4 linked regions of the Stegostoma tigrinum genome follow. The main gene of each other region encodes a partner of the protein of the gene in region 4 in a complex. Links are inferred from orthologs where the notes say so. Each region holds a gene or a part of one and is shown on either strand. Other genes may lie near its edges.

Evidence for each region.
Region 1: the proteins of caska (region 4) and nrxn1a are in contact, whole or in part, in a crystal structure (PDB 6NID), measured with the Homo sapiens proteins. The link is inferred for Stegostoma tigrinum from reciprocal best matches to the Homo sapiens genes CASK and NRXN1. Residues at the interface, in NP_001354650.1 of Homo sapiens: Pro500, Met501, Gly502, Ile503, Thr504, Leu505, Lys506, Ala516, Arg517, Val549, Gln553, Leu556; in NP_001317021.1 of Homo sapiens: Lys468, Glu469, Tyr470, Tyr471, Val472.
Region 2: caska (region 4) and lin7a share a complex: the UniProt entries of both Homo sapiens proteins name them as parts of the brain-specific heterotrimeric complex. The link is inferred for Stegostoma tigrinum from reciprocal best matches to the Homo sapiens genes CASK and LIN7A.
Region 3: the proteins of caska (region 4) and protein lin-7 homolog B are in contact, whole or in part, in an NMR structure (PDB 1Y74), measured with the Mus musculus proteins. The link is inferred for Stegostoma tigrinum from reciprocal best matches to the Homo sapiens genes CASK and LIN7B. Residues at the interface, in NP_001271432.1 of Mus musculus: Ala405, Arg408, Ala409, Glu411, Val412, Glu415, Ile416, Tyr419, Glu421, Asn422, Asp424, Ala425, Glu427, Leu428, Ile431, Leu432, Gln434, Phe437, Ala439, Leu440, Leu441, Thr443, His444, Val447, Ala448; in NP_035828.1 of Mus musculus: Leu10, Asp13, Val14, Arg16, Ala17, Leu20, Leu21, Arg23, Leu24, Ser27, Glu29, Leu30, Pro31, Pro32, Lys34, Leu35, Ala37, Leu38, Val41, Leu42, Ser44, Phe46, Cys47, Ile50, Arg51, Tyr54.

What each region holds. Positions count from the first base shown.
Region 1 is NC_081362.1:50,233,481-50,240,341, reverse strand, and holds the start of nrxn1a (neurexin 1a), read right to left. Parts: upstream 3,014-6,861; 5' UTR 2,804-3,013; intron 2,650-2,803; exon of another isoform or gene 2,507-2,649; intron 1-2,506.
Region 2 is NC_081371.1:40,158,675-40,166,536, forward strand, and holds the start of lin7a (protein lin-7 homolog A), read right to left. Parts: upstream 3,008-7,862; 5' UTR 2,759-3,007; coding exon 2,722-2,758; intron 1-2,721. UniProt on the Homo sapiens protein: Plays a role in establishing and maintaining the asymmetric distribution of channels and receptors at the plasma membrane of polarized cells.
Region 3 is NC_081391.1:19,469,112-19,476,081, forward strand, and holds the start of protein lin-7 homolog B, read left to right. Parts: upstream 1-3,964; 5' UTR 3,965-3,985; coding exon 3,986-4,022; intron 4,023-5,799; coding exon 5,800-5,918; intron 5,919-6,970. UniProt on the Homo sapiens protein: Plays a role in establishing and maintaining the asymmetric distribution of channels and receptors at the plasma membrane of polarized cells.
Region 4 is NC_081365.1:43,395,438-43,402,867, reverse strand, and holds the start of caska (peripheral plasma membrane protein CASK), read right to left. Parts: upstream 3,001-7,430; 5' UTR 2,445-3,000; coding exon of another isoform or gene 2,386-2,444; intron 1-2,385. UniProt on the Homo sapiens protein: Multidomain scaffolding Mg(2+)-independent protein kinase that catalyzes the phosphotransfer from ATP to proteins such as NRXN1, and plays a role in synaptic transmembrane protein anchoring and ion channel trafficking.

The sequences.
Region 1 (6,861 bases), on a different chromosome or scaffold from region 4:
CAACTACAACATCTGAGCTTGTAGATGATGATCATGATCTGCTGGGGAGAAGATCTCGTTAGTTAGATGTGGGAGCAAAAGATCTTTCAAAATGCCTAGAAAAGGACAACAGACCAATTGAGGCCATAGAGGGTGACTGCTGAGACCATGTGGAGGCAGAGAAGAGGAAAAGTGTGCAGCTGTGATGAAGAAAGGTGGGAATGAATTTGTAACCTGTTAAAGGAAAGGGAAAAGCAATAACAGTTTGGATCAGACGTATATGACAGGAAGGGTAAAGAACCCAATTTGGCTAAGATAGAGAAAGAAAGAAGGCGAGTGCTTGCCTGAACACTGGTTGGGGGGTGAGAGGTGCGATGTGTGCCTCAGGTTGAAGAAGAAATAGGGCAGAAGCCAAGAATGGGGGAGAAGACTCAAGGTAGATGTGGGAAACGGCCAAAATAGAGGAGTATGTGGGAGGGAAAACAGAAATTGGGACTGCAAATTACTGGAATCTGAACTGAAAACAAAAAATAATGCTGGAAATCACAACGGATCAGGTAGCATCCATGGAGAGAAATCAAGCTAACATTTCGAGTCTAGACAGCACTTCATCAGAAGTAAAGCAGGGGCATGGGTACCAGAGAGAAGAGAAGATGATGGACAGAGCAAAAAATGGAGAGGGGGAGAAAAGAGAGAAGTTACTTGGTGACTGAAGCGGTCATGTTGAAAGAACAGTTTGAAAGCAATGGGAAAATAGTGGGAAAAAAAACGAATGAAGGGGAGCGTGACTGTCAGCAATAGGGAGGTGCAAAAAGGCAGGTGAAAAATCTATGAAGGGCAATTACAACATAATCCCTACTGTTTCCTAGTTCTCTCTCATTCAATGTTCATATTTTAAGCTTGGCTTCTTTCTGACAATTTCGCAGGGTCACTGTGTTTACATTCCATTTTCCAGTCTGAATCAAAATACTTTATAATATTCTTCAAAAGAAGCAATTAATGCAGCAACATGAATCAATATATGACCATGACTGCACTTGTATCCGCTTTTGGACAATATTTTGTATTGTGTTTAGTGCAAAATGGCTGAACCTGCCAAAACAACAACATTTCAGCATGTGCATTTTAATTCTTTCTGTTTGAGCTCCCTCACACCAGATACTCAATTGTTTAAAAAAATGCTTAGCTCTCCAGAACAGTTTAAAAGGAAGCAAAGTTCCTTTTTAGCCAAATTACTCAGTGGATTTTAATATCTAATTTGGTCATTTTAACCAATTTACTCAATAGATTTTAATAAATAAGTTGTTGGAAGATTGACAGACAAGTTGCTGTAATGTAAACTAATTATTATTAGTTGTATTTTGTTGCTAAACACTTTTGGATTCCAAAGATGATAATTACAACTCCCAACAAAAAAGCATAAAAATGCCAAAGTGAAAATATATATGTCCTGTCTTTGGATTAATATTAAGACTTCTGTCCTACAATGATCTTGAAAAATGTATTTTAAAACTTTGAGATTGATGGTTACATGGTCCATTTGGTTCAGTAGACTCCCATTGCTTCATTTGTAGAGAATACAATATCCTGACATATCTGACGTCCAAAACTACCCCGGGCGCTGAAAAACAATAATTCTTTTATTGACTGGCACATCACTTGTTGCAGCGTCCTAAGAAATAGACCAGCACTTTATAGTTAACATTTCTTTTCTCTCCCTCTGCCTTTTGATTTCGATTGTCTTATTAGCTTTCTCACACTACACCTAATGAGCCATCACACCTTTCTTGGATTGTAAAAATGCCTGAAGTGAAATCATGACAGGAAATCTAATTACCAATGTACCACAGCAAAACGCAGCATGGAAATTATGAGACAAAAGAACGCTCCAATTTGATACATGTTTTTTTAAAAGAAAACGCTACCGATATGCGCCTAACATGTCAATTTCTCTTTTCTGCTTCCTGTCTTAGGAAGCTGCGGTCCGTTCTCACCTCATGACACTTCGTATTGTTTCCCATGTATCATAACAAAATGATTAACGCAATCTGTAAAATTAAGCAGTTTTTTTTGTACTCCGAGATGTAATTTGGATATGCTGTGTCAGATGGAGGTAGCCCAAATAATATAACTAAATCCAACAATTACATCCAATTCTGGCGGGGAGTGAGAAAGGACAAAAATCCATTCTATTCCGTCTACAATATAACAGGTCCTTAAATTTAAACATGCTATCAGTATAGAAATACGATTCAACAAAGACAAGCAATCCTATTCAGTAATCAACTACTTTTATTTTGCAACCAAAGTATCAACTCAGTAAGGTATGAGGGAAAGGGAGTTCAATCACAGAGCGGTGAGTCGCCTTGCATTCATTATTGGAAAGGAGCTGCGGAGAACGGGAACTCTCGGTTTTATTTTAATTGATATGTTGGTGCCTATGGAGTCTGCAAAATGCAAAACCCTCAGACTCTCCTCCTAAATCTGCAACCTCCGATACAGTGATGGCTGCTTTTAAACCACTCACCTGGTTCCTGCACTCTTCCCTCTACCGTGTGTTGCAGATGCGCAAGGATTTTACTCACTGATGAAGACCAAGGACACAAAAGAGGGGGATAAGATCAGACATGGGCTGGGGGAATGGGTGGGCTTTAAATCTCTCCACGCGGTAAAGCAATGATGTAAGACCTTTCAGGATTGGGTTTTTTTTTGTCTTCACGCCAGCCTCTTAAAGACTGGGCTTCCCCGCTCCGATACATGACGAAGAAAATTCCATTAGTGCTCGGCAGCACAACGAGAGACAGACAGACAGAGCCCCACGTACCTGAAAGAACCCGCTGGGGCCTGAACCAGGCTGTGAAAGAACGCTGATCTTTCAGACGAATTCCCGTTTTAAAATTTAAAATACACGCGCGCCCAGGCGAGGAATAGCTGCCTTCTCTATGTCAGGATCTTTCTGTGTCAAGAGAAAGCCATCTCTATTGCCTCCCGTTAAAACAGCGCTGCCAGCGAAACCCTTGCCTTCTGGTACCCAGACCCTGCTGAAAGATGACGCATATTCTCTCTGCAAACTAAAGGAAATCAAGGGAAAAAAATGCATTTAAAAAAGGAGGTGTCGCAGCCCTTTTTCTCCTTACAGCGGAAGCAATGAAAAGCTCCCATATTTATCTTTCCAACCGCCAAAGCACGGCCCCTCACCTCAAAACACACCACCCAACCCCAAACAGCAGCCTGCCCCAAAATGACTGGTTTAATCTGGGAAGAGTGGCTGACGCTGTATTGGCCGTGCCCTGGACGCCTAGCGGCTCCCCTGAGTGCCCAGCCATGCTCTGACCGTAGGTATCTGGGGGCTTCCAAAGTGCCTGGCCATGTCCTGGGTGTCTGGCCAAGGCCAGGGTGTCTGGTCATGACCGGGATGTATGGCCATGCCCGGGGTGTATGGCCATGCCCTGCGTGTCTGACCGTGTCCGGGGTGTCTGGTCATGCCCGGGGTATCTGGTCATGTCTGGGATGTCTGGCGAAGCCCAGGGTGTCTGGTCATGCCCGGGGTGTCTGGCCAAGCCCGGGGTGTCTGACCATGCCCGGGGTGTCTGGCCACGCCTGGGGTGTCAGGCCAAGCCCGGGGTGTCTGGTCATGCCCGGGGTGTCTGGCCAAGACCAGGGTGTCTGGTCATGTCCGGGATGTATGGCCGTGCCCGGGTTGTATGGCCATGCCCTGGGTGTCTGGCCATGCCCAGGGTGTCTGGTCATGCCCGGGGTGTCTGGTCATGTCAGGGTGTCTGGCCAAGCCTGGGGTGTCTGGCCGTGCCGGGGGTGTATGGCCATGCCCTGTGTGAATGGCCATGCCCCGGGGGTCTGGTCATGCCCTGGGTGTCTGGACATGCTCGGGGTGTCTGGCCAAGCCTGGGGTGTCTGGCCATGTCCTGTGTGTCTGGCCAGGCCCTGTGTGTATGGCCATGCCCCGGGGGGTCTGGCCATGCCCTGAGTGTCTGGCCATGCTCGGGGTGTCTGGTTGTGCCCCGGGTGTCTGGCCAAACTTGGGGTGTCTGGCCATGCCCAGTGTGTCTGACCATGCCCTGTGTGTATGGCCGTGCCCTGGGTATATGGCCATGCCCCGGGTGTCTGGTCATGCCCTGGGTGTCTGGACATGCTCGGGGTGTCTGGCCAAGCCTGGGGTGTCTGGCCATGTCCTGTGTGTCTGGCCAGGCCCTGTGTGTATGGCCATGCCCCGGGGGGTCTGGCCATGCCCTGAGTGTCTGGCCATGCTCGGGGTGTCTGGTTGAGCCCGGGGTGTCTGGCCAAACTTGGGGTGTCTGGCTATGCCCAGTGTGTCTGACCATGCCCTGTGTGTATGGCCGTGCCCTGGGTATATGGCCATGCCCCGGGTGTCTGGCCATGCCCTGGGTGTCTGGCCATGTCCAGAATGTCTGGCCATGCCCTGGGTGTCTGGCCGTGCCCTGGCTGTCTGGCCATGCCCGGGGTGTCTGGCCAAGCCTGGGGTGCCTGGCCATGCCCTGTGTGTCTGGCCAGGCCCTGTGTGTATGGCCATGCCCCGGGGGTCTGGCCATGCCCTGAGTGTCTGGCCATGCTCGGGGTGTCTGGCCAAGCTTGGGGTGTCTGGCCGTGCCCGGGGTGTCTGGCCGTGCCCGGGGTGTATGGCCATGCTCTGGGGTGTCTGGCCATGCCCTGGGTGTCTGGCCGTGCCCTGGGTGTCTGGCCAAGCCCGGGGTGTCTGGTCATGCCCGGGGTGTCTGGCCAAGGCTGCGGTGTCTGGTCATGTCCGGAATGTATGGCTGTGCCCGGGTTGTATGGCCATGCCCTGGGTGTATGGCCGTGCCCGGGGTGTATGGCCATGCCGAGGTGCCTCGCTTCGAGCTGCTCCAGCGCCCACGTACTCAGCCGCACAATACCAGCCGGAGACGAGCCTATGCGGAGGATTTGTGTCAAAAGCAGGCTCTCGGCTACTATCTGTTGTATTTTCCTTCTCTCCCTGCAAAAGTATTGTCGCCGCTGAAGTGCCAATTCCCGGGAGGTAGGTAGGTGTGCATCGCTGTCATGTTATTTCCCCGTGCTCTCCCGGGGAGACAGCTCTAGTAAGTCTGACACACAAGGCTTTGCTCTTCTCGCCTTTTTAGGAGTGTGAACGCTGCCGTGTGTGGGCAGCTTGAAATACTTACAGCAGAATAATAACGTCTTTAATTCCGTGTTAGAAAGCAGCACCTCGTGAAGCGTTCCCAATTCGAGCACCCAAATTTCAAAATGTTTCCAGCTAAAACGAGTACTTATAAATAAATGTTGACGTGTACGATAATTTGCCTGATTTGACACAAAACTGTTGAAGCGACACGACATTTTCATTTGTTTAATGCCAGCACGTATGTATTTACTTGCTTACAACACGAGCTTTCAAAGCGTCGCAATCCTTTGCTGAAACATTTCTGGTAGGTATCCAGTCATGATTTTAGTGTATTGTAGTGAACTCTTAAGCACGTGTGCGCGGAAAGTGCTTCCGAAGACAATATGTTTTTTTTTAAACAAGCATTTACATTATTGTGACACATACATAGACAGATGGAAGTGTACTGGAGCTTGGGAATTCAATAAAACAAAACCTCGGGTAACGATGATAAATGAATGCTCGAGATTTCTGGATTGTACTCGGGTGTCTGCAGGGTGTACGCAATGTAAATGCGTTCCTGAAATTCCAACAGGTTCAACTTGAAATGGTTAGAGCAAGCTGTCACAGGTCATTTTCTTATCTTTGGCCATATAAGATATGCCAGAGGTGAGACTACATCTGTACATTTTCATACCTTGTTTCACTTTGTACTGTTTTCACATGCAAAGAGGAACCATCAAAACATGAAACTGGGAAGTGGTTAATTTCAAGGATGGGGTGGGGGTGGGAAGGTTTTGGAGGTACATGGTATGAATGAGTTAGGGACACCCCTTTAACTGTCTGTCCTGACGGAGAGTTATATTTAAATCAAAACATTAATTCTGTTTTTTCTCCACAGATATATGTTCAGCACCTACTATTTTTATTTCTGATTTCCAGCATGTGCAGCATTTTGCCTTTATTCACTTAGCTTGGCTCAAGAGCAAGAATGCCGACATTTTTGATATTAAAGTTGTAAGTTCAAGCCTTGCAGGTTCATTAGAACAAAGCAATATGTTAGACTAACATTCAGTGCCAGTGCTGACCCATCTGTGGCATTGTTAGAAAGAAGTTTCCTTTTGACTGTAATGCTAAACAGAAATGCTGTGTGCCGACTCATGTGGATAAAAAAGGTCAAGGCATTGTAAAGCAAAAAAGATGGGGAAATGTAAATTAATATTGACCAGATTGCAGTAACCTTTTTTCACTCCAGCACATTACACATCGAGATAGACAAAAGAGGGCATGAGTTGGGGAGACTTTATAGAACACTATCAAGGAAAAACAACTGATGAAGGGTCTAGGCCCGAAACGTCAGCTTTTGTGCTCCTGAGATGCTGCTTGGCCTGCTGTGTTCATCCAGCCTCACATTTTATTATTTAGACTCTACTGTTGTATTTTAACTCAACACTTTACTGAAGCAACTTGTGAAGAGATTGACAAACAAAACCTTAAATCTACACTAGCTATCTACTTCTGACCTGTGCTTCCAAGGATTCATTGTACCCTATCCACAGGTCCTGACCACTGTATTTGACCTAGATAACAAAGTGTGAAACTGGATGAACACAGCAGGCCAAGCAGCATCTCAGGAGCACAAATGCTGATGTTTTGGGCCTAGACCCTTCCTCAGAGAGGGGGATGGGGAGACGGTTCTGAAATAAATAGGGAGAGAGGGGGAGGCAGACCGAAGATGGATAGAGGAGAAGATAGGAAGAGAGGAG
Region 2 (7,862 bases), on a different chromosome or scaffold from region 4:
GTTTTCACCACAATTCCAGGCAGTGTATTCCAGTCCTGACCCACTCATTGTGCGCAAAAGGTTTTCTCTCATTACATTCATTCACTGCCAGATCTGGCTGGGCCATATAAACCACCATCATCTATTGCAGAGTGCAAAGATAAACCACAACTTCTTTGTTCTTCCACAAACAAACTTGTGAAAGCCCTATTTCTTCCAGTCTTACCCATGTGTATGTGGAATTTGCGGACTTCCTTGTCACTGAAATTAAGTTAATCTGCTACTGCCAATCCTTCCCCAGCCCATCTGACGAAACTCCGTCAAATGTCCCCCTCCCAAATTTGAATCTGTTTTTAGTTTCTTATCAATTTGCTTCTCCTCCACTTACTCACATGAAGCTCTTCTTCCCTCAACCCTACTTCCAGTAAATTGTAACCCATCTCAAATTCTTTACTCATGTTAGCTGACATTGTTAAATGATTCTCTTTCTTTTAGTTCATCTCCCAAATGTGCACATCTCTTCCAGAACTTCATGTTTAAATTCCTCAAATCAATTCTTCCCAGCAGTGTGCCAATATTACTCCTATCAAAGTCACAAATATCATCATGCAGGTCTGAGACAAAAGTAAAATATCCCTCATTCTTCTCCACTTCTCTGCAAACTCAGGCATAGTTGACTACAAATCCTTTCCAATGCCTCTCTAAAGTCATCAAGATGGTTGGGTCTGCACTCAACTGCTTTCATTCCTATCTGTCTAGTTATTGACAGAGAATCATTTACAATGGCTTGTCTTTGAGCTCCAGGATGTTAGGCATCCCAAGATCAATCTTTGGCCCTTGTTTCATCTCTATATCCTGTCTTTTGGCAACATTACACAAAAGCATTGCCAGTTTCCACATACCTCCTGTGACTTTATCAACTTGCTCAATTGTTGCATTTTCTCGTCACTAATAGACTGCTTGAATGACATCCAGAAATGGATGAGGAAAAATTTCCTCCCATTAAGTACTTACAAAACTGAATCAATTATGTCTCCACCAAAAATTCTGCTCCTTTGTCATCCTCATTCTTCTTCCTCCCGATTGCCCAAACTCAACTTTAACAACTGCATGTTTGGCACTTAGGGGCTTCACATCACTATAACTGCCTATTTCCACCTCAGTAAAATCATTGGATTCTGAACATACTGCCCCTTCTCTGCTGTTGAGGCCATCATTTGTAGAGTCATAGATATGTAAGTCATGAGAACAGATCCCTCATTTCAACTCCTCCATGCTGACCAGATATTCTAAATTAACCTAATGCCATCTGCTAGCATTTGCCCATATCCCTTGTGTGTTTGTCACACCTAGTCTTCACTACTCTATTGTACTCTTGACTGGCTTCCTACGTTCTACCCTCTAAACTTGATTCTATCAAAATATCTTCTGCCCACATTCTTAGTTGCACCAAGTACCATTTGTCCAAAAACTGTCCTTGGTGACTTGCACCGGCTCTTGGCTAACTGGCACCTTGAAATTATTGTTTTCCCCTTGTTTCTAAATTATTTCATGTCATAATCCCTCCCTCCCACTTTGATTTCCTTGAGTCCCATAATGGTCCAACATATCCACATTTCACTAATTCTGGCCTCTTCAAGCTTTGCCAAATTTAAATGCTCCACCATTGATGTCTGCCTTGAGTTGCTGAGGTACCAAAAGCTGGAATTCCTTGTCCACAAGTCTCCAACTGCATCAGGTCCTTCCTTAAAATCTACCTTTTGAGGAAACTTTTGGTCATTTAATCTAATGTCTATGAAAAGAAACAAACATCGGTGGATCCACTTGAAACTTTTACTTCACAATGTTCCTGTTGTAGTGCAAAATTGTATTAACGTGAAGTGTTACATGAACAAGTCATTACTGTTAGTTGTAACTAGTTATGAGCGCCAGGGCTCTCAGTTTGAGACTAATCTAAAATAGCAACTTCAAAGAGCGTGCAAATCAGATGAACTCTTTTCATTTCATCTCTAATTAAAGTCTGATGGTTATTTGTTCTCGTTCCTGAATTGCTATTTCAAATATGCCCTAATCCATCTCGTTGATACACGCAGCCGACCCTTGCAACTACACACTCCTCCTTACACGCAACAGAAAGTGTTACATATAACAAGCAGCTCCGCGAAATATTTAATCGCAGCTTAAATATTAAAACCTTGATTTTAACAACTGAACGTGGCAGGGATATGATTTCGCAACAGAACTGTCTAGGGCGCATTTAGAGAGAAAGCCGATGCCTCCCAGCCCTCTGATTTTCACTGTCGGTCCAGTTATCAAACAAACCGACTGCAAGATAATTTCCTAAAGACGACTTCGTCCTCCATCAGCCGCAATCTCTTCAAGTCCGGAGGGAGGAGAGGAGAAGGGCGAAGAATATATTCCCTTTGATCTGTTTCTTTTCAAGTCTTGCAGACAGCAAACGGAAATTGCCGTTAAAAGAAAATGTCTTGCTAAATGTAATCTATCAGTGGCTTCTGCGCGTTTAACACATTCAGTGGAAAAAAAAATTGCTCCCCAGCATCAGTAAATCTGTCTCCAAACCGTCACTGTGGTCCATCAACGCTACAGGGAACATAAATACTCAAAAGTAAAGACCAATCACACTTCAAGCCACAAAAGCCTTCCAAACTACAATTTTATTTTGTCACAGATTGAGGAAACACTCGGGAGGATTGTGCAGATAAATTACGACTGTTCCCTTACCTCTTTCCAGCGTAAGCGGCTGCAATGTTGTCGCCATGTCTGCAACAGCTTCAGAAAAGGAGGCGTGAGATGGCAGGCAGTGTGAGAAAGGGAGCACTGGCTGGAATGATGCGGCTCACACTGCAGCCACGAGGGGCACAGAGAGAGAGAGAGAGACAAACAGCGTTCATCAGCCACACACACACATCCAACCTCCAATGCACCTCACTCAGGCTGGATTGTACGAGGCACGTACCATTACTAAGTAGCAATGGAAGTGCGAAAGACCTGAGACGCGCTGTTCAGTATCAGCCATTACCACTTCAACATTACCCGGAAGATTAGAAATTTGCAGCAGCAGAGACAAGTTCAGATGTTCAACGAAAAGCACAGCTGGCCGGACAGCATCCGAGGAGCAGGAAAGTTCGGTCCGAAATGTTGCCTTTCCCGCTCTTCGGATGCTGTCTGACTACTGAGCTTTCTCAGCTCCACATTTACTGACGCTTGCTTCCAGCATCTGCCGTCTTTACTGTCCTCAAGTTCAGATATTCAAATCAGTTCAAAATTTGAAGTTTGTGGCAGAATTGAGAGACTGAAGAACTAAAGTATCTGAAATACTAATTTCCAGATATTAAATTTAGTGAATTTACCAAAAGGTCTCCCCTTCATCTGCAATAAATAAAGGCAAATGTCTTAATAAAACAAAACGTCTAGTAGGGGAAAAAAGGAATGACTACTTTCTTAGAGATGAGGGCTTTAAGCATGAGATGTCCACTCAACGCTGAAGAACGCAGATACCATTCCCCTAGGCCAACGAAGATCCTTATTCAATTGGTTAATGCAGTTCTCCAAGGCAACATCAGCACTGATTTTAAGGATTATTATTTAATAATATTGCGTCTTGGCAACAAATTGGTAGGTCTGCCACATAGTTGTTTAAAGCTGCAGTGCAAATTGCTTAGGCACTTTAGTGGGCAGAATCGAACTTATCTAAACTTAGTTTTATAAAATATAGGGGAAGATCTTTCAATCATGGCCATCAAAAACAAAGTTGCTGGAAAAGCTCAGCAGGTCTGGCAGCATCTGTGAAGAAAAAAAAAGAGTTAATGCTTCTGGTCCGGTGACCCTTCTCTGGTGGGAGGTTCTGAGGAATGGTCACCGAACCTGAAACTTTAACTCTGCGTTTTCCTTCACAGATGCTGCCAGACCTACTGAGCTTTTCCAGCAACTTTGTTTTTGATCCTGATTTACAGCATCTACAGTTCTTTCGGTTTTTATTTCAATCATGGCCAGTATGTCTCTCAGCACTATTCTCCTGCCTGCTCCCTGTAATTGTTGATTCCCTTGCTGATCACAAACCTATCCGTCTCTGTCATAAATAAACTCATGTATTGACTTATGTTTAAAGTTTGCCATTTATACACCACCTTTCATGACCGCTGAACATCCCAAAGTGATTTGCTGTGAATGAAATACTTCTGAACTGTAATTGCTGATTGGAAACAGCAGATTTCTGTTTGTCAGGGTTTACAGTGTACATTGTGATAACAACCAGGTAACTTACCTTTGTGATGGTCACTAAGGAACAGACATTGGCCTGAACACCATGGATAACTCCTTGCTCCACAAAATAATGCCATTGTTAAGATATTTGATTTCCAACTGGGAAAGGGCTTGTTTAATCTCTAATCTGAGAGAGGCATGTTCAACAGTGCAGAACTTTCTGGGACTTCACTGGAATGTCAGCCTACATTTTTGTACTCAAGTCCAGGAGTGCAAATTCAAACCACATTTTATCGCCCAATGTAATGTAATGTAACCAATCAAATCAAGGGGAGGCAATGGCCAGTGGTATTATCACTGGAGTGTTAATCCAAAGACCCAGATAATGTTTTGGGGGCCCAAATCCTATCATGGTAGATAGTGGAATTCAAATTCACTAGATATCTGGAATTAAGAACTAATGAAGACCATGAATCCATTGTTGGTTGTTGGGAAAAATCCATCTAGTTTGCCAACATCCTTTAGGGAAGGAAATTGCCATCCTTACCTGGCCTACATGTGACTCCAGACTCACAGCAACAGGGTTGACTTTTAACTGCCCCCTGGGCAATTAGGGGTTGGCAATAAATGCTGCCTAACCAGTGTTGTCCTTGTTCTGTGAATGAATAAAGAATAAAAGTATGGCATTATCACATAATTTCATATCCATCTGTCCCATTAAATCTTCCTTAAATTCTTTCAATCTTCTTTCCAATCTGCCCATCCATTTTCAAGACTAATGGTTAAAGCCATGAGCTTACTGAATGTTAAGGTTGAGTTTAGGACTCACAGAATACCCTAAAAAGCTAATCAAGATTAAGCAAAGGGTTAAATCAAATCCATAATGTAATTAAGACAACAAAATGTGAGGCTGGATGAACACAGCAGGCCAAGCAGCATCCCAGGAGCACAAAAGCCGACGCTTCGGGCCCAGACCCTTCATGAAGGGTCTGGGCCCGAAGCGTCGGCTTTTGTGCTCCTGGGATGCTGCTTGGCCTGCTGTGTTCATCCAGCCTCACATTTTGTTGTCTTGGAATCTCCAGCATCTGCAGTTCCCATTATCCATAATGTAATTAGTCAGGGAAAACACACAGACAGGAGACAGCAATTCATTGGTTGTAGAGGGCAAACAGGTTGATGAAGCTACTCCCTGAGACTGCAGGTAGCAGCTTCTCTCCTCTTTTTGAACTAAGAATTACAGTGTGAAATAGCTCTTCTTTTGGTCTTTCTCCATCTGAACAAACCCAATTGTCAGGCAAGATGCACACTTTATCCCTCTGCACCTAATATATATTTCACAAGGCCACTTCCTTGAATTAGATAGAGGTAATGGTAGGTGTCTTTTCCCTAAGGTGGGGGGTTTCAAGACTAGGGGACACATTTTTAAGGTGAGAGGAGAGAGATTTAAGACCATAAGACCATAAAACCTAGGAGTGGAAGTAAGGCCACTCGGCCCATCAAGTCCACTCCGCCATTTAAATCATAGCTGATGGGCATTTCAACTCCACTTCCCTGCACTCTTTAAAAAAGACATGAGATGTAAATTTTTTACATGGACGATGGTTCACATGTGGAATGAACTTCCAGAAGAAGTGATGAATGTGGGCTCAATTACAATGTGGGACTGCACTTTCTCACCCCCAAACTGAATTTTTAATTCGATCATACTATGGTCACCAATCCCTAGGGGGATCCTTAACTATCATATCATCAATTAATCTCTCCTCAATTCACAACACCAAATATGGAGTAGCCTGCTCCCTGGTTAGTTCCACAACATGCTGCTCAAAGAAACAATCTCTAATACATTCTATGAACTCTGCCTCCATGCAACCTTTGCCAATTTGATTCTTCCAATCTATGTGTATGTTAAAATCACCCATGATTATTGCCATACCTTTCTTACAAGCCTCTAATATTTCCTGATTTATACTGTGCCCCACTGCTGAAACATTGTTTGGAGTCCTATAGATTACTCCTACCAAGTAGTTCTTCCCTTTGCTATTTCTTATTTCAATGCAGACTGATTCCACATCTTGATGTCCCGTGCTTATGTTATTTCTCATTATAGCTCTGATCCTTCCTTCACCATCAAAGCTACACCACCTCCTTTTCCTTTCAGCCTATCCCACTGAAATGTTGAGTACTCTGAATTCCTAGACCTGGTCTCCTTGTAACCATGTCTCAGTAACTGTAACCAAATTGTACCCTTTTGCTTCTATTTGTGCCATTAACTCGTTAATTTTGTTTCAAACGCTTTGTGCATTTAGATACAAAGTTTTTAAATTTGTTCTACTGTGAAATTTCCTTAATCTTTTATAAATTCTTGGTGCATAAAGACAATCACCTATTCTGTCCCATACCTTTATTATCTGGTAACCATCCGCCACATTGCTAACCTGCACTCTTACCTCCTCCTTTAATTTGTGTTTTCTAATTTCCCCTACAACTGAGCTCCCCGCCCCCCCACCCCCGGCTTAATTTAAAGCCCTGTCAATAGCCCTAGTTATGCAATTGACTAGGACTCTGGTCCCAGCGTAATTTGGGTAAAGACCGGCCCATCGGAACAGGTCCCTTCTTCTTTAGTATTGGTGGCAATGTCCCATGAATTCAAACCCATTTCTCCCACACCAATCTTTAAGCCACACATTCACCTGCTTAATCATATTGGCCTTGTGCCAATTAGCTCGTGGCTCAGGTAGTAACCCAAAGATTATTAACTTTTTGGCTGTTTTTTTAATTTAGCTCCTAGCTGTTCATACTCCCTTAGCAGAACCTCTGTCCTAGTTTTATCTACGTCATTGTTACCTACATGGACCACACCAACTGGATCTTTCCCTTTCCACTCCAAGTTCCTCTGCAGCCCAGATGTGAGATCACCCACCCCAAGTACCAGGTAGGTGACATAACCTTAGGGATTCTCAATCCTGGTCACAGAGAACACTGCCTATACCCCTAACTATACTACTTCAAATTACAACTACGTTTCTCTTCTTTCCCGCCAACTTGAATGGCTTCCTGCATCATGGTGCTGTGGTCAGTCGGCTCATCCTCATGGCAGTCCTCGTTCCTATCCATACAGGCTTTTCATGGTGGAGGACAAAAGTACCATTCCTACTAGAACAGGCAAGTCAAAGACACTAGGAAGGGTAGTTCTTAGAACAATCAACATCAGTAGGGAAAAGGTACTCAGCAAACTATCAGGATTGATGACAGACAAGTCCCCCAGACTGCTGGCCTGCATCCAAGGGTGTTAAAGGAAGTGGCAATGGAGATAATGGGTCCATTGGTAACAATATTCCAAAATTCTCTGGATACAGGAAAGATTCAAGTAGATTGGATAAAACGCTAATATAACATGCTTATTCAAAAAGGTGGGGGGAAGGCAATATGTGGGAAATTACAGAACACTTAACATAACATCTGTTGATGGCAAAGTTTTAGAATCAACTAACAAGGAAGCAATATGAGGACATATGGAAAGTCAAAACACTATTCATCAGAGTTAGCATGGCTTTATGAAGGGCAAATCATGTTGGATTAATTTGCTAGAGTTCTTTAGAGATGTAACAAGCAAAGTGGGTAATGGGGATCTTGTAGATGTAATATATCTGAACTTC
Region 3 (6,970 bases), on a different chromosome or scaffold from region 4:
AGTCCCTTGGGCCTGCTACACCATTCGGTATAATCATGCTGATTGAGCTCAATACCCTAATCCTCCCCTCTCCCTATATTCCTTGATCATTTTAGCCACAAAACAAAAACTATATCTACCTCCTTCTTGAAAACACAATGTTTTTGCCTCAACCACTTTCTGTGATAGTGAATTCCACATGCTCGTTACTCTATAGGTGAAGAATTTCTCCTCATCTCAATCCTAAAGAATACCCCTTATCTTTAAACAATGCCCCCTGGTTCTGGACTCCCCAGTCTTTCCTGCATCTAACCTCTCTAGACGTGGTAGAATTCTGTAGGTTTCAATGAGAGTCCCTCCCCATTCTTCTCAGCTCCACTGAATAGAATCCTAACTGACTCAATCTCTCCTCATATGTCAAACCTGCCAAACCTGAAATCAAATATAATAGGAACTGCAGATGCTGGAGAATCTGAGATAAAAAAAGTGTGGAGCTGGACGAACACAGCATCTCCCAGTCACGAACTATTTCAACTCCCCCTCCAATTCCTTAGACAACATGTCTATCCTGGGCCTCCTGCAGTGCCACAATGATGCCACCCATAGGTTGCAGGAACAGCCACTCATATTCCGCTTGGGAACCCTGCAGCCCAACGGTATCAATGTGGATTTCATCAGCTTCAAAATCTCCCCTTCCCCCACTGCATCCCAAAACCAGCCCAGTTCGTTCCCTCCCCCCACTGCACCACACAACCAGCCCAGCTCCTCCCCTCCACCCACTGCATCCCAAAACCAGCCCAGCTCGCCCCCGCCTCCCTAACCTGTTCTTCCTCTCACCTATCCCCTCCTCCCACCTCGAGCCGCAGCTCCATTTCCTACCTACTAACCTCACCCCGCCCCCTTGACCTGTCCATCCTCTCCAGACTGACCTATCCCCTCCCCACCCATACTCTCCTCCCCATCTATCTTCTCCTCTATCAATCTTCGGTCCACCTTCCCCTCTCTCCCTATTTGTTTCAGAACCCTCTCCCCATCCCCCTTTTCTAATGACGGGTCTAGGCCTGAAACATCAGTTTGTGTGCTCCTAAGATGCTGCTTGGCCTGCTGTGTTCATCCAGCTCCACACTTTCTTAACCCTGAAATCAATCTTGATAAACCTTCGCTGTTCTTCCTTCTACAGCAAGAATGTCCTTTCTCAGACAAGGAGATCAAAAACAGAACGATATATTTAGATTACCTACAGTGTGGACATCCCTGCTCCTTTACTGGAATCAAATAGTTTATCTTCTTTTGTACACTAGATTGAGAGAAGTGCAGGTAATTCACTCCTTCACCTGAAAGGTGTTTCTGTAGCCTTGGATGATGATGAGAGAGAGGTATCTCAGATCCTCCTTTCACTTTACAATATTCAGGTGCTTGGTTATGTCAGATACAGACTTGGAGTCATAGAGTCAAATAGCACAGAAATAGACCTCTCAGTGCATTAGTCCATACTGACCAGACATCCCAATCTAACTCAGTCCCATTTGTCAGCATTTGGCCCATATCTCTCTAAACCCTCCCATCCAGATGCCTTTTAAACGCTGTAATTGTACCAGCCTCCACCACTTCCTCTGGCAGCTCGTTCCATACACACACCACCCTCCGTGTGAAAAGGTACCCCTCAGGTCCCTTTTAAGTCTTTCCCCTCTCGCCTTATCCCCGTGCCCCTTAGTTTTGGACTACCCCAACCTGGGGAAAAGACCTTGCCTATTCACTCTCTCCATCCCCCTCATGATTTTGTAAAACTCTATAAGGTCACCCCTCAGCCTCCGACTCTCCAGGGAGTACAGCCCCAGTCGATTCAGCCTCTCCCTGTAGCTCAAACCCTCCAACCCCAGGAACATCCTTGTAAATCTTTTCTGAACTCCTTTAAGTTTCACAACATCCTTCCCATAGAAGGGAGACCAGATTTGCACACAGTACTCCAATAGTGCCCAGACTAATGTCCTGCACAGTCGCAACATGACCTCCCAACTCCTGTACTTAATGCATAGACCAATAAATGAAAGCACACTAAATGCCTTCTTCATTATTCTGTCTATCTGTGACTCCACATTCAAAGAGCTATGAACCTGCACTCCGAGGTCTCTTTGTTCAGCAACAATCCCCAGAACCTTGGGGTGGCATGGTAGCCCTGTGGTTAGCGCTACTGCCTCACAGTGTCAGGGACCTGGGTTCAATTCTAGCCTTAGCTGACCACCTGTGTGGAAAATACTTATTCTCTCTGCGCCTGTGTGGGTTTCCTCCAAGTTCTCTAGTCTTCTCCCACAGACCAAAGATGTGCAGGCTAGGTCAGTCAAAAGTAGTGCTCAGGGATGCCTAGATTAGGTGGGTTATAGGGGGAACGGGTCTGGGTGAGATGTTCTGAGGGTCAGTGTGGATTTGCTGGGCCAAAGGGCTTGTTTCCACACCGTAGGGATTCTATGATTTATGAACGTTACCATTAACTGTGTAAGTTCTGATCTGATTTGCCTTTCCAAAAATGCAATACCTTGCATTTATTGAAATTAAACAATATTTGCCACTCCTCGGGCCATTGTCCCAACTGATCAAGATCCCATTGTACACTGAGGTATCTTTCTTCGGTGTCCTCTACACCTCCAATTTGGTGTCATCTACAATCTTACTAACCATACTTCCTATGTTCATATCCAAATCATTTATACAAACAATGAAAGGCAGTTGACCCAGTACCAATCCTTGTGGCTGGTCACAGGCCTCCAGTACAAAAAGCAACCCTACACTACCACCCTCTGCCTTCTACCTTGCAGCCAGTTCTGTATCCAAATGGCTAGTTCTCCCTACATTCCACATGATCTAACTTTGCTAACCAAAAACCTGATGAAGGGTCGAGGCCCCGAAACGTCAGCTTTTATGCTCCTAAGATGCTGCTTGGCCTGTTGTGTCCATCTAGCTCCACACTTTGTTACCCATGAGGAACCCTGTTGAACACCTTACTGAAGTCCACATATATCACATCTACCGCCCTGCCCTCATCAATCCTCCTCACCTCTTCAAAAAAGTCAATCAAGTTAGTTAGATGTGATTTGCAAAGCATAAGGCCATGTTGAATCTCCCTAATCAGTCCTTGTCTTTCCAAATACATGTAAGTCCTGTGTGTAGGGATTCCCTCCAACAGCTTGTCTCAGAAAAAAGGGCTGCAACTTCAGACTGAGGTGAGGAAAAATTTCTTCACAGAGAGGGCTGTGAGGTACCTTATGTCTATTTAATGGTGAAATAGATTAAGACCATAAGACATCGGAGTGGAAGTAAGGCCATTCGGCCCATCAAGTCCACTCCGCCATTTATATCATGGTTGATGGGCATTTCAACACCACTTCCCTGCACTCTCCCCGTAGCCCTTGATTCCTTGTGAGATCAAGAATTTGTCTATCTCTGCCTTGAAGGCATCCAACGTCCCGGCCTCCACTGCACTCTATGGCAATGAATTCCACAAGCCCACCAGTCTCTGGCTGAAGAAATGTCGTCTCATTGCAGTTTTAAATTTACCCCCTCTAATTTTAAGGCTGTGCCCACGGGTCCTAGTCTCCCTGCCTAACAGAAACAACTTCCCAGCGTTCACCCCTTCCTAGCCATACATTATCTTGTAACCATACATTATTCTTGATCAGTTGGGGAATCAAACGTTAAAGGGAAAGGACAGGAAAAGTGCATGTAAGGGCTGTCAGATCAGCTACTATCCTGTTGAATGGTGGAGCAGTTTCAACGGGCTGAATGGCCTGTTTCAGTTCCTATTTCTTATGGTCAGCGGCCCCTGTGGCCGGGGACTGTCATCGCAGGACTGGGGATCGTGGCCAGAGGAAGGTGACAGCGGCCCCTGTCGCCAGACACCTGTCGTTGCAGGAGGCGTGGGAGGCCCCGCCCCTCACCGCGGTGGGCGTGGCTACAGCTCCGCCGGTGTTGATCACGTGTCGCTTCACGGTCAGGTGATACCGGCTCCAAGATGGCGGCGTTGGCTGAATCTTTGTCGCTGGAGAGAGGTGAGTGAAATAGCTGACCACCCTCAAACCCTGCTGCCGTCGCATCTCTTTCTCTTTCCATGGGGGCCACCGAGACCCCGCGAAGGACCGGCATTTCATTCCTGATCCCGTTAAAGCTATGAATGAGTGACACCGCTACCCGCATAGCCAATCAGAGCCTGAACTCTCTGATTGACAGCAGGGTGGACCAATGGGGATGAGGTGACTATTAATATATATAAGGAGACCGACCAATAGCGAAAGGGGACGGGATCTATGGCGACTTTTTCCAGAATTATGGCTGATATAGTTCAGTAAAATATCTTAAAACAAAAATATGTGTCAGTGTCTATTTTAGTAATACGTCTCATTCTTAAATCTGTAAATGTATATAATCAGCCCGGTCAATATACATGTTAACAATGTCTCATAACTTTATCAGCATATATTTGTCCCACACATCTTTCTATCAATCATCCTTCACTTATATATTTTGTATCTCTCAGACATATTTTTGAATAATTTTTGCACATTTCGTATATCTATCAAATTCTATTTCAGTAATACTGAAACATAGATAATTATATCCCTGAAAGATATGCGAGGTGTATCAGTGAATTCTATAATGTCATATATATGAAACATATGTCTGAATACATTTAGCGTTTACCCCTATAAAGTATAGGACACATTACTGAAATGCATGCTGATATGTATCTGAAAGATACAAAATGTGGGGAAATATGTTTTTCAGATACCTGAAATAAATTTTGATATACGTGTATGTTTCAGTTATAGCTATCAGTATATGTTTCAGCAATTTATCTGTATATTGCAGTGTATTTATATATAGTGTACATTTCACATGTGTGTCAGAGCATAGACAACTGAATTAATTAAAATAAAATCAGTAAAAGGACCACTTCTGCCACAATTGTGCTGCCTTGTCATTAGTGCCATAAGACATTCCCAAATTTTCTCACATCCAATGCTCAAAAATGCAGTAGCAAACAAAATCTTTAAGATAGCTAGTGGGGTGTTTAACAAGCCAATAACCAGTCATTCCAGAATAACTGACGATTTTGTATGGTCCACCCAACAACAACATGCCCTATTTAACATGTGCACAGGTAGGATAGGCAGGGGGCTGTTCATATTTTTTGGCTTCTTTATTCATTCATGGGATGAAAACATCACTGGCTAGGCAGCATTTATTGTCCATCCCTGATTGTCCCCAGGGCATTTAAGAGTCAACCAAATTGCTGTGCGTCTAGAGTCACACATAGGCCAGACCAGCTAAAGATGGCACTTTCCTTCCCTAAAGGACATCAGTGAACCGGATAGGTTTTTCCTGACAATTGACAATGGATTCACAGTCATAATTAAATTCTTAATTTCAGATATTTTATTGAATTCAAATTCCACTATCTGCCATGGTGGGATTCAAACCCTGGGCCCCCAGAACATTATCTGGGTTTGATACATACGTGAAATGTATACTATAGATAAATTGCGGTGTGGACTTGTTGGCCGAAGGGCCTGTTTCCACACTGTAGGGAATCTAATCTAATCTAATCTCTTGTGCTCCACCTGAGAAGGCAAGCAGCAGCAAGTTAATTATTGCAAGTGGCTGTCAGTGAAGCACGGGTTCCCAGACTGGTTTCAGAAGCCACTGCCACACACCAGAAAATAAATTAGACGGAGCAAGAATACTTCTGGCCAGGGATGGGGCAGAAATGTCAAGCTTGAACACTACCTGCAAGCCAATTGCTTAATTTCTGCTTTCTGCATGGTCTAGATGTTACCAGAGCGATCGAGCTGCTGGAGAAGTTACAGCGAAGCGGCAATGTTCCCCCGCAGAAACTGCAGACGCTGCAGCGAGTTCTTCAGAGCAAGTTCTGCTCTGCCATCCGAGAGGTCAGTACGCAATCAGCGACTATAGCTTTGCTCCCTAAATGCATGCGCTCATTAAACTCAACATCAGCAAATGTGTTTGTGCATTGTAGCTCTTTCTGCATGCGTCAGCCTTTGAAGGAAAGAAGCTTATTTGCACATATTACTGTTGCATTTGATTAAAAATGAATTTTACTCTTTCTAACATGTACAATTTTAACAAAGAGTGCAGTGAGAATTTAAAATTCACTACAACATGGAATAGTTGAGGTGAACCGCATTGATATATTTTTGGCGAAGCTGGTGAACATATATGGGAGAAAGGAATAGAAGGTTATGCTGTTAAGAGTGTGGGGTGCAGAGAGGGGTAGTGGGGAAGACCTCTGTGGTGTATAATATTGGCTTAGACCAATTAATATCAATTAGCCAGTTTCTGTGTTGTGAATTCTATGTAGCTCACCTGTCCAGATCAAGAAGTATGTTTCAAAATGTCCCCAGTCAATTCCGATAATCAAGTCTTTAATGAGAAATTATCAGACTGCAATTACACACATCATGAATAATAAGGTAGTTTTGCCCAAGCTTTGTATCTTCTGGCATCTTAGCCTGTACTACAGAGAATATTCCTACCAAATTTAACTGAAAAATATACTTGGACTTAATGTCCATTTACAGCATCAGTGAAGATTAGCCAGTAACACCTTGTTTCAGAGATAGTAGGAACTGCAGATACTGGAGAATCGGAGATAACGAGGTGTAGAGCTGGATGAATACAGCAGGCCAAGCAGCATCAGAGGAGCAGGAAAGCTGACATTTTGGGCCTAGACCCTTCTTCAGAAATGGGGGGAGGGGGAAGGGGATTCTGAAATAAATAGGGAGGTGGGGAGGTAGATAGCAGATGGATAAAGGAGCAGTTTCAGGGCCAAAGAGATTAAGCGAGAATTGCAGCGGGAAAGAGATCCACTGAGGTCTTCCTGGAGGGAGGAGGGTAACTTCTTCAAGTTAGGCATCCTTAGAAGAAGCTTTGCAGTGGAGTTAACAATGTTTCGGAGATATTAGGAACTGCACATGCTGGA
Region 4 (7,430 bases):
TTGTTTTTGAAAGGAAACAATGAGGAAAATTTAATCCATTACAACAAATTACTTAGTTCTAAATGTTTTCAGTTCTGATGAAAGTTCAGTGACCTGCAAAAGTTAACTAATTTCTCTCTGTATAGATGTTGTCTGATTTGTTGAGTACATTCAGGATTTTGAAAAAAAACAAAGAATAAAATGCATATGAATCTAAGCACCAAAAGTTGTTTTAGTTGACAAGAAAAACAACTTTAACCTTCTATGTTGTCTTTCGATGCAAGCCACACTCCAGTAGCACAGCAATCAACTTTCCCTTGAACGATTCTAGAGGCTTTGCTCCTGAAATCTGATTTCATTAATTGTTTCTTTAACTAAATTTGTCAACTCTGGATGCTTTTCTTTAGCCAAAGATGACTGAAAATCATTCCAAACTCAAAATGCTAAAGAACTAAATTAGATTTTAAATAAAACATCTTAACAAAAATTACATCTTTATCAAGATGAAGTTTTCCAAAACATTACATAGGTACACGACATTTAAAAAAAAACTTAAGGCCTTAAAAGAGAGGAGAGCATGTCGGAGATGTGAAATGATTTATGGAGGAGATCTCAGAAGTCAGGTTCTAAGCAGCTGAAGGCAATGGTCAAGAGTGGTGAAATGAAAGAATTGGCTTGTGTGTTCACCAATATCCATAGTAAATAGATTACAGAATGAAGCAAGGCTTTGAAGGGATTGGAACAGAATGATACTTTTACAACTCCTATGTCCCTACCTAAAATAGGTACTGTAAAACTGACTAATGCAGTTTAACTTAGCATCATGTGACCAAAGACACAACTGGAGCGCAAAATTTTAGTAAAAAGCATTATAGTAAATGCAATTGCAACTGTGAAATCAAAGAATGTGATCACAAATCTGTTTTATTTACAGCTATTTTGCTCTGCAATTGAATATAAAAGCAAAACTATTCAAGTCATTATACTTTCCTGTTAAGACAGGCTCATCTCAAAATATTTGTAACATCTATGTCAGTATCCTCTCAACAATTCATACACTATCTTCTGAGATTCAATTGCAAAAATGGAATTAAAAATCCATTTCTATATATTTAGTATTGCAATCTTCCAATTTCTCTCGGCTGAAATTACAGAAGTATGAATTTAACATAACTCAGTTGTTCAGTTGCAAGTTACACATATAATTTTAAAATAAAATATACAAGGTCACAAGTCTTTTAAAAAACCCTTCTTCAGGAATCTGAATACCCAAAAAGGGTTAAGTTACTGCTGTATTTTTTAAAACAATTTGCTTGAAACAAGAAATCTTGATAGATGCAAAAGGTAAGAATGGCATTTCTAAAACTACATGCTAAATTTAAAAGTTTGTGATACAGCCTGAGTTTTTAAAGATAACCGCAAAAGAAGCGTCATATTTGACTATTTACTTTCAATTACAGATATTTGAGATTATCTGTCAACACTATTCTGATTACCTAACAGGACTGAAAACATATTACAATGCATAGCCAAAAAAACCCAGAAAACAATCCACCATTTGAACATAATAAAGAGTAAATATTTGTTACGAAAATGTCTAAACAAATAAATGAGATACAAAAATGCTATGCTGATAAACATGCATAAACCACGTCCTGAACACTAGTGTTTTAAAATAATTAAGAATACAAAAGAACAATGACCCATCCTACAAGGAGAAACTCTTGATCAAATGTTTATCTTGACAATTAAAATCTTGTACGTTGACAAAACATTCTTTCCTTATTTAACTGAAAATCACTGCATCAGAACGACTGCTTCGCTGGAGCATTAGTGCTCTCACAACACGAAAATTGATCTTCAACCTGACTTAAGAAAATGGATTATATCATACAACGTTAAACGATAAACTTTCTGAATCAAAACAATACATAAATATAGTTGATAATTAATGCAAATTTCTTGGTTTTGCGGGAAACAGCCGAAACTACTCATTATTTCCTGGATAAATGTCTGATGCTCCTCTCCTTCAAAAGGAGGCACCGTATCCTTCAGATGCAAGAGCAGCTTTATCAATATTTCAATTTCAATTCATACATTACAAAGTAAATAATATCCACAATGGGCTGTACCACTTTTACATAAAATTGTAGCAAATAATGAGTTGTTTCCTAACGCATAAAGTTGATTTCTAAATGTTATTTGTTTAAATTTACTTCCAGAATTATTTTCGTTATTATGCAAAAAAGCTAAATAAATCCTTCGGCCGTATCCTGTAATCCACTGGAAACAGAGGGAGGGCCCGTTAAGTAAAACCACGAATTAAACCACAACCATAATATTCTGGCTTCAGTTGATTTCTACTTTAATTTAAATATATATATTTTTTAAAAAAAACACACTTACTTGCCAATCACTTCACACAGCTCATATACATCTTCAAACAGGACGTCGTCGTCGGCCATAGTCGATAATTAAAATCAGAATTTTGAGAGGGAATTCAAAGTAAAAAAAAACTCCCTCTAATGTGGAAATTGGTCTTTAAAACAAAACGTTTCCCGTGTAGATCAGTTAAAGAATTCAGGACACAATGAATGAAAAAGATTTTTTTTCCTCCAGACAGCACCAGCGAAACGAAGACTGATTGATAGTGAAGCAGCCGGGTAAAGCAGACTGCTGGGCTACGCTTGGCGCTGCCCTCCTCCTGGCGACCCCACCTTCTCTTTTTCACTGCCTTAAAAAAAATCCACAGTCCAAGGCTTCTGTTCTCTGTATAGAACTGCTCCCTGGAAATCCAGGCCAAAATCCGGGAATAATTCGCAATGAAAGAAAGGTCTTAATATATTACAGTCGGCGCTCGTCGGACCATGTTAACACTTCGCCCTGTCGTGCTGTAGGCTGCTAGTGTCGGCCCGTCCCCTGTCGCTGCGCCGCTACAGTTTCAGGCGGCGGCGGTTGGTCAGGGAGGTAACCACCAATCAACGCCCGCTCCCCGACTGCCCGCACTCTGGCTGCGTCAGCACTGAGCTCGCGGCGAGATGGAGGTACAGTGTTTGCGCATGCGCTTGAAGGCCAAACCGGCCGTGGCCAAACCAGTGCTGGGCATGCGTTAACCTGGATGGCTGCAGCACCTGCGTGTAGCGCGTGCGCTCACGCGTCGGTGGTTTTAGCAAATTACACCTTGTCGACAGTTTACACATCAAAACGGCAGGTTTTAACCCAAACAAAGGAAACTGTGCTCCTCGTTCTAAAATAGACGACCCAGTTTGAGTACATATTTTATGTGTTAAAATGATTTATTGTATTACATGTCTTGGTGAATAAACGGGAGTGATAGAAGATTCGGTTGAATATAGTACTGAAAAGCCAGTGGCCACTGCCTTGCTCTTCCAGGCCTTCGCCGTCACACAATTACATAATTTTAATACTATCCTGGTCAATCTTTGTATTGAAGACTACATCAATGTGAGTTTTCTTTCCTAAAATCACTGATGCCTTTCATTCATCCTATCCGCGCTGACCTATATTGTGTCCTGTTTCCCCAATTTCAACAGCTTTAAAATTCTCACGTATTTAAATCCAAGCATGCCTCTCCCACCTATCTGTAAAGTCACCATTGTAACTCAGGTAATGCAAAAGCCAAATTAGTCCACATTGTGATACTGACAAGATTGCCTATTCCTAGTTTTGTATTCGTCAATGCGGTGTGCGTTTCGCTGACTAGACCAGCATTTATTCGCCATCACCCGCGAATCGCCACTTTCCTTGGGCTGAAGGTAACACCCCACCCCACGCCACCCCGTGATGTTTGAAAGAGAGTTCCAGGATTCTAACTCAGTGACAGTGAAGGATCGATCAAGAATATGTGTTGCTTGGACGGGAACTTGCAAGATTAGGTATTTCCATGCATTGGCTGTCTTGTGCGTCTGTGTGGTGGAGGTCATGGTTTTGAAGATGCTGTTAGTCCACATTGTAAAGGGTACAAACTGATGTCACTGAGCAAATATGGGGGAGGAAATGAAGCGTGAAGGTGTTGAATGGGCTGCCAATCAAGCAGACCACTCTATCCCAGATACTATTAATCTTCTTGACTGTTGGTGGAGCTGTACCTCGAGGCCTTCTTGTGGCACAGTGGTAGTGTACCTATCCCTGGACTAAGAGGCCCAGATTCAAGCCCCACCTCCTCCAAAGGTGTGTAATAACTTCTCTGAACAGGTTGTTTAGAAAAATTGGTTGGAGCTGCACCTATCCAGGTGAGCAAAAAAACTGTTCTCTTACACTCTAATTGTGACTTCTAGTTGGTGATAGGCTTAGGGAGACAGGAGGTGAAAAGATTTATAGATTCATACAGCACAGAAACAGGCCCTTCAGTTCACCTCGTCCATGCCAAGCAAGTTTCCCCAACTAAGCTAGTCCTAGTTGCCTGCATTTGGCCCATATCCCTCTGAACCTTTCCTGTTCATGTACCAATATAGGCTAATAGTGTCACTCAGTATGTAAACAGACCCTTCAGTCCAACTAATTCTGGGCTCCTAACCTGTCCCTACAGCCACAGAGTTTATATAGCTACTCTGGCTCAGTTTCTTTTTGCTGGTAACTCCCAGCTTGTACATAGTGGAACATTCAACACAGGTAATGCCTTTGAATGTCAAGGGGAAATGCTTAGATCAGTTACCTCCAACCTTTTTAAATGCAAGATCACTTTATGAATTTACCCTGAAGAAAATATAGAATAAAAAGTTTATTTTAGTGCTACTGAACTCTGTCTTCACTCGTCAAGTTTCGGTGTCTGCACATTATATGCCTGTGCCTTGATGTCTGGCTTGTACTTTGAAACAGCTAGTCATATACAGTCCATCAAATGATTATTTGTGAGGTAGATGCAAAACATGTACTTGAGCAAAGAGGTCCTTCTGCAGCTGCACAGGGCCCTGGTGAGACTGCACCTGGAGTATTGTGTGCAGTTTTGGTCTCCATATTTGAGGAAGGACATTGTTGCTATTGAGGGAGTGCAGTGTAGATTCATGAGGTTAATTCCTGGAATGGCGGGACTATCATATGTTGACAGATTGGAGCGACTGGGCTTGTATACACTTGAGTTTAGAAGGATGAGAGGGGATCTGATTGAGACGTATAAGATTATTAAGGGATTGGACTCTCTGGAGCAGGAAGAATGTTTCTGCTGATGGGTGATCCCAGAACCAGAGGACACAGTTTAAAAATAAGGGGTAGGCCATTTAGAACAGAGTTAATGAAAAACTTCTTCATCCAGAGAGTGGTGGATATATGGAATGCTCTGCCCCAGAAGACAGTGGAGGCCAAGTCTCTGGATACTTTCAAGAAAGAGATGGATAGAGCTCTTACAGATAGTGGAATCAAGGGTTATGGGGATAAGGCAGGAACAGGATACTGATTGTGGATAAGCAACCATGATCATAATGAATGGTGGTGCTGCCTCGAAGAGCCGAATGGCCTACTCCTGCACCTATTGTCTATTGTCTATTCATCCTTATCATTTGAAAGAATGCTGATTCACAGAGGAATAAGGAGTCAAACTAAGCTTCCGCATTAAAAGCACAGGATATCAGGAGTGGGTAATTTTTTTGCTTATGTCCTTTGATCTGACTTTCAAAGTCATTTTCCCGGTAATTATCTCTGTAGCAACATCATTGCTTGTAAATCAAACACCTGATGGAATTTGGTAGCCTTCTACCAAAGTCTACTTGAAGGAATGATTTGAGACAAATATGATGGTTTGTTCCATTACACCTAATTCCTGAAATCATATGTTGAATTCTTCTACTAACTTCGTCAGAAGTGCACTGAGGTTTTCTGGTTTTTCCTTGTATTTTTGTCTAGTATTTTCTCCAGGCTGGGAAAGTGCTGCAGTGTATTTTTCATTTGGGATAACCACAGACCCAATTTCAATTTGAGCGCCTTCACAACCCTAGTTATAAATGCTAGACTCTGTCTGTTTCCTGCACTTAACACCTCATTCAGTTTTTGACATTATGTCTGTTAGGAACCTGAAGCAAAATAACCATGTACTGGTTGACAGCTCATTGCATGTTAATGCAGTCATAAAACTGTAGTCACAGTCCTTGAGACCCTGATGTAGCTATTGAAAGATGTCTTCAGACAAAGATTCCATTTGGCCTGGTCCTGTGGAAACACCAAGTGACATGCTCTGGATTGCAATAATTATTTCTTCCTTGTCCTTAAAGTCTTTGAATAAAGCGTCTGTGGCTGCAGTCATTGTTTCTTTAATTACTTTGCCATCAGGCAATAATTTCCTGCACTTTACCAGAAGATGACAAATGCAAAATTCTGTTCAGTGCAGGCTTTGCTGCTGCCTTAGAAAAACATGACTGTAGAACTTTCAAAAGGCTTTCAGCTCACTAATATTTTTTTTATCTGAATCTGTTTAAGTGAAAACTGTCCTTGAGTTCACTTTGCATCATTGAGTGGTGTTGAACCAAATTCCCCTTTTCATTTATTAATATCCACTTATGACACATGAACATATGAGGCTAATGCTCATCTTTTACAATTGTTAACAGAAATTTATTTTCCCATTTTTCTGGTTTCTTTTTATATGTTCCCAGTTTATTACTCCTTCTTATTGCTTCACCATGTAATTCAAGACATTACTCTGCTGCTGGTCAACCCGTGTCTCTGGAACATTCAGAATGTTGCTAGCTGCTTTCTAATGTAGTGGCACCGCAAGTCATTTTTGATGTTGTGATTTGTTTCCAGGGCCCATGATTGGCTTGCGTTATTCAAATTTTGGATGTGGGCGCAACAGCTCCCATCCTAACTTTTCATCCACGTGCAGATAAATAGCTGAGGAAAATAAACTCAGGCCTGCAGGGAACAGGAAGAAAAATGGGACCAGCTGAGCTGCTGCTGCAGAGAGTTCGCACAGACATCATGCTCCTATACATCTAGTACTTTAATATACAGACTTCACACATCTGTTCCTAATATATTTCTTATTCATTTATTTACAATACTATCACAGAACATACTTTTTTTTGAAATGAAAGTCGTTCTGGACCAAACTGAAACACAATGCAACAAGCAAGAAAATCCTGATAAAGACATGAACTTTTCTCTACAGCTTCTGGAAGCAGAACTCATAGAGAGGCATAGTAATCAACATGCTCACTGTGAGGAATTACAGGCAGGCGGTGAGATGGATTGTCAGAGACATACATGACAAGGAAACAAGGGTGGCCAGTGAGATCACCTGTCGGAGACAAGGACTGTCGGAAATCATTGTATTAGACATCGCAAGCTTAGATATTTTTCCTTTTCGAGGTTATCATTATCTGGCAATTGTGTGATGCAAATGTTACTTGCTGCCTATTCTACTTCTGGGGTCTACATTGAATGTGGTGCATCTGATTTCATTTGTTTGTTTAGGCTCCAGTGTGGTTTGATAGAAATGA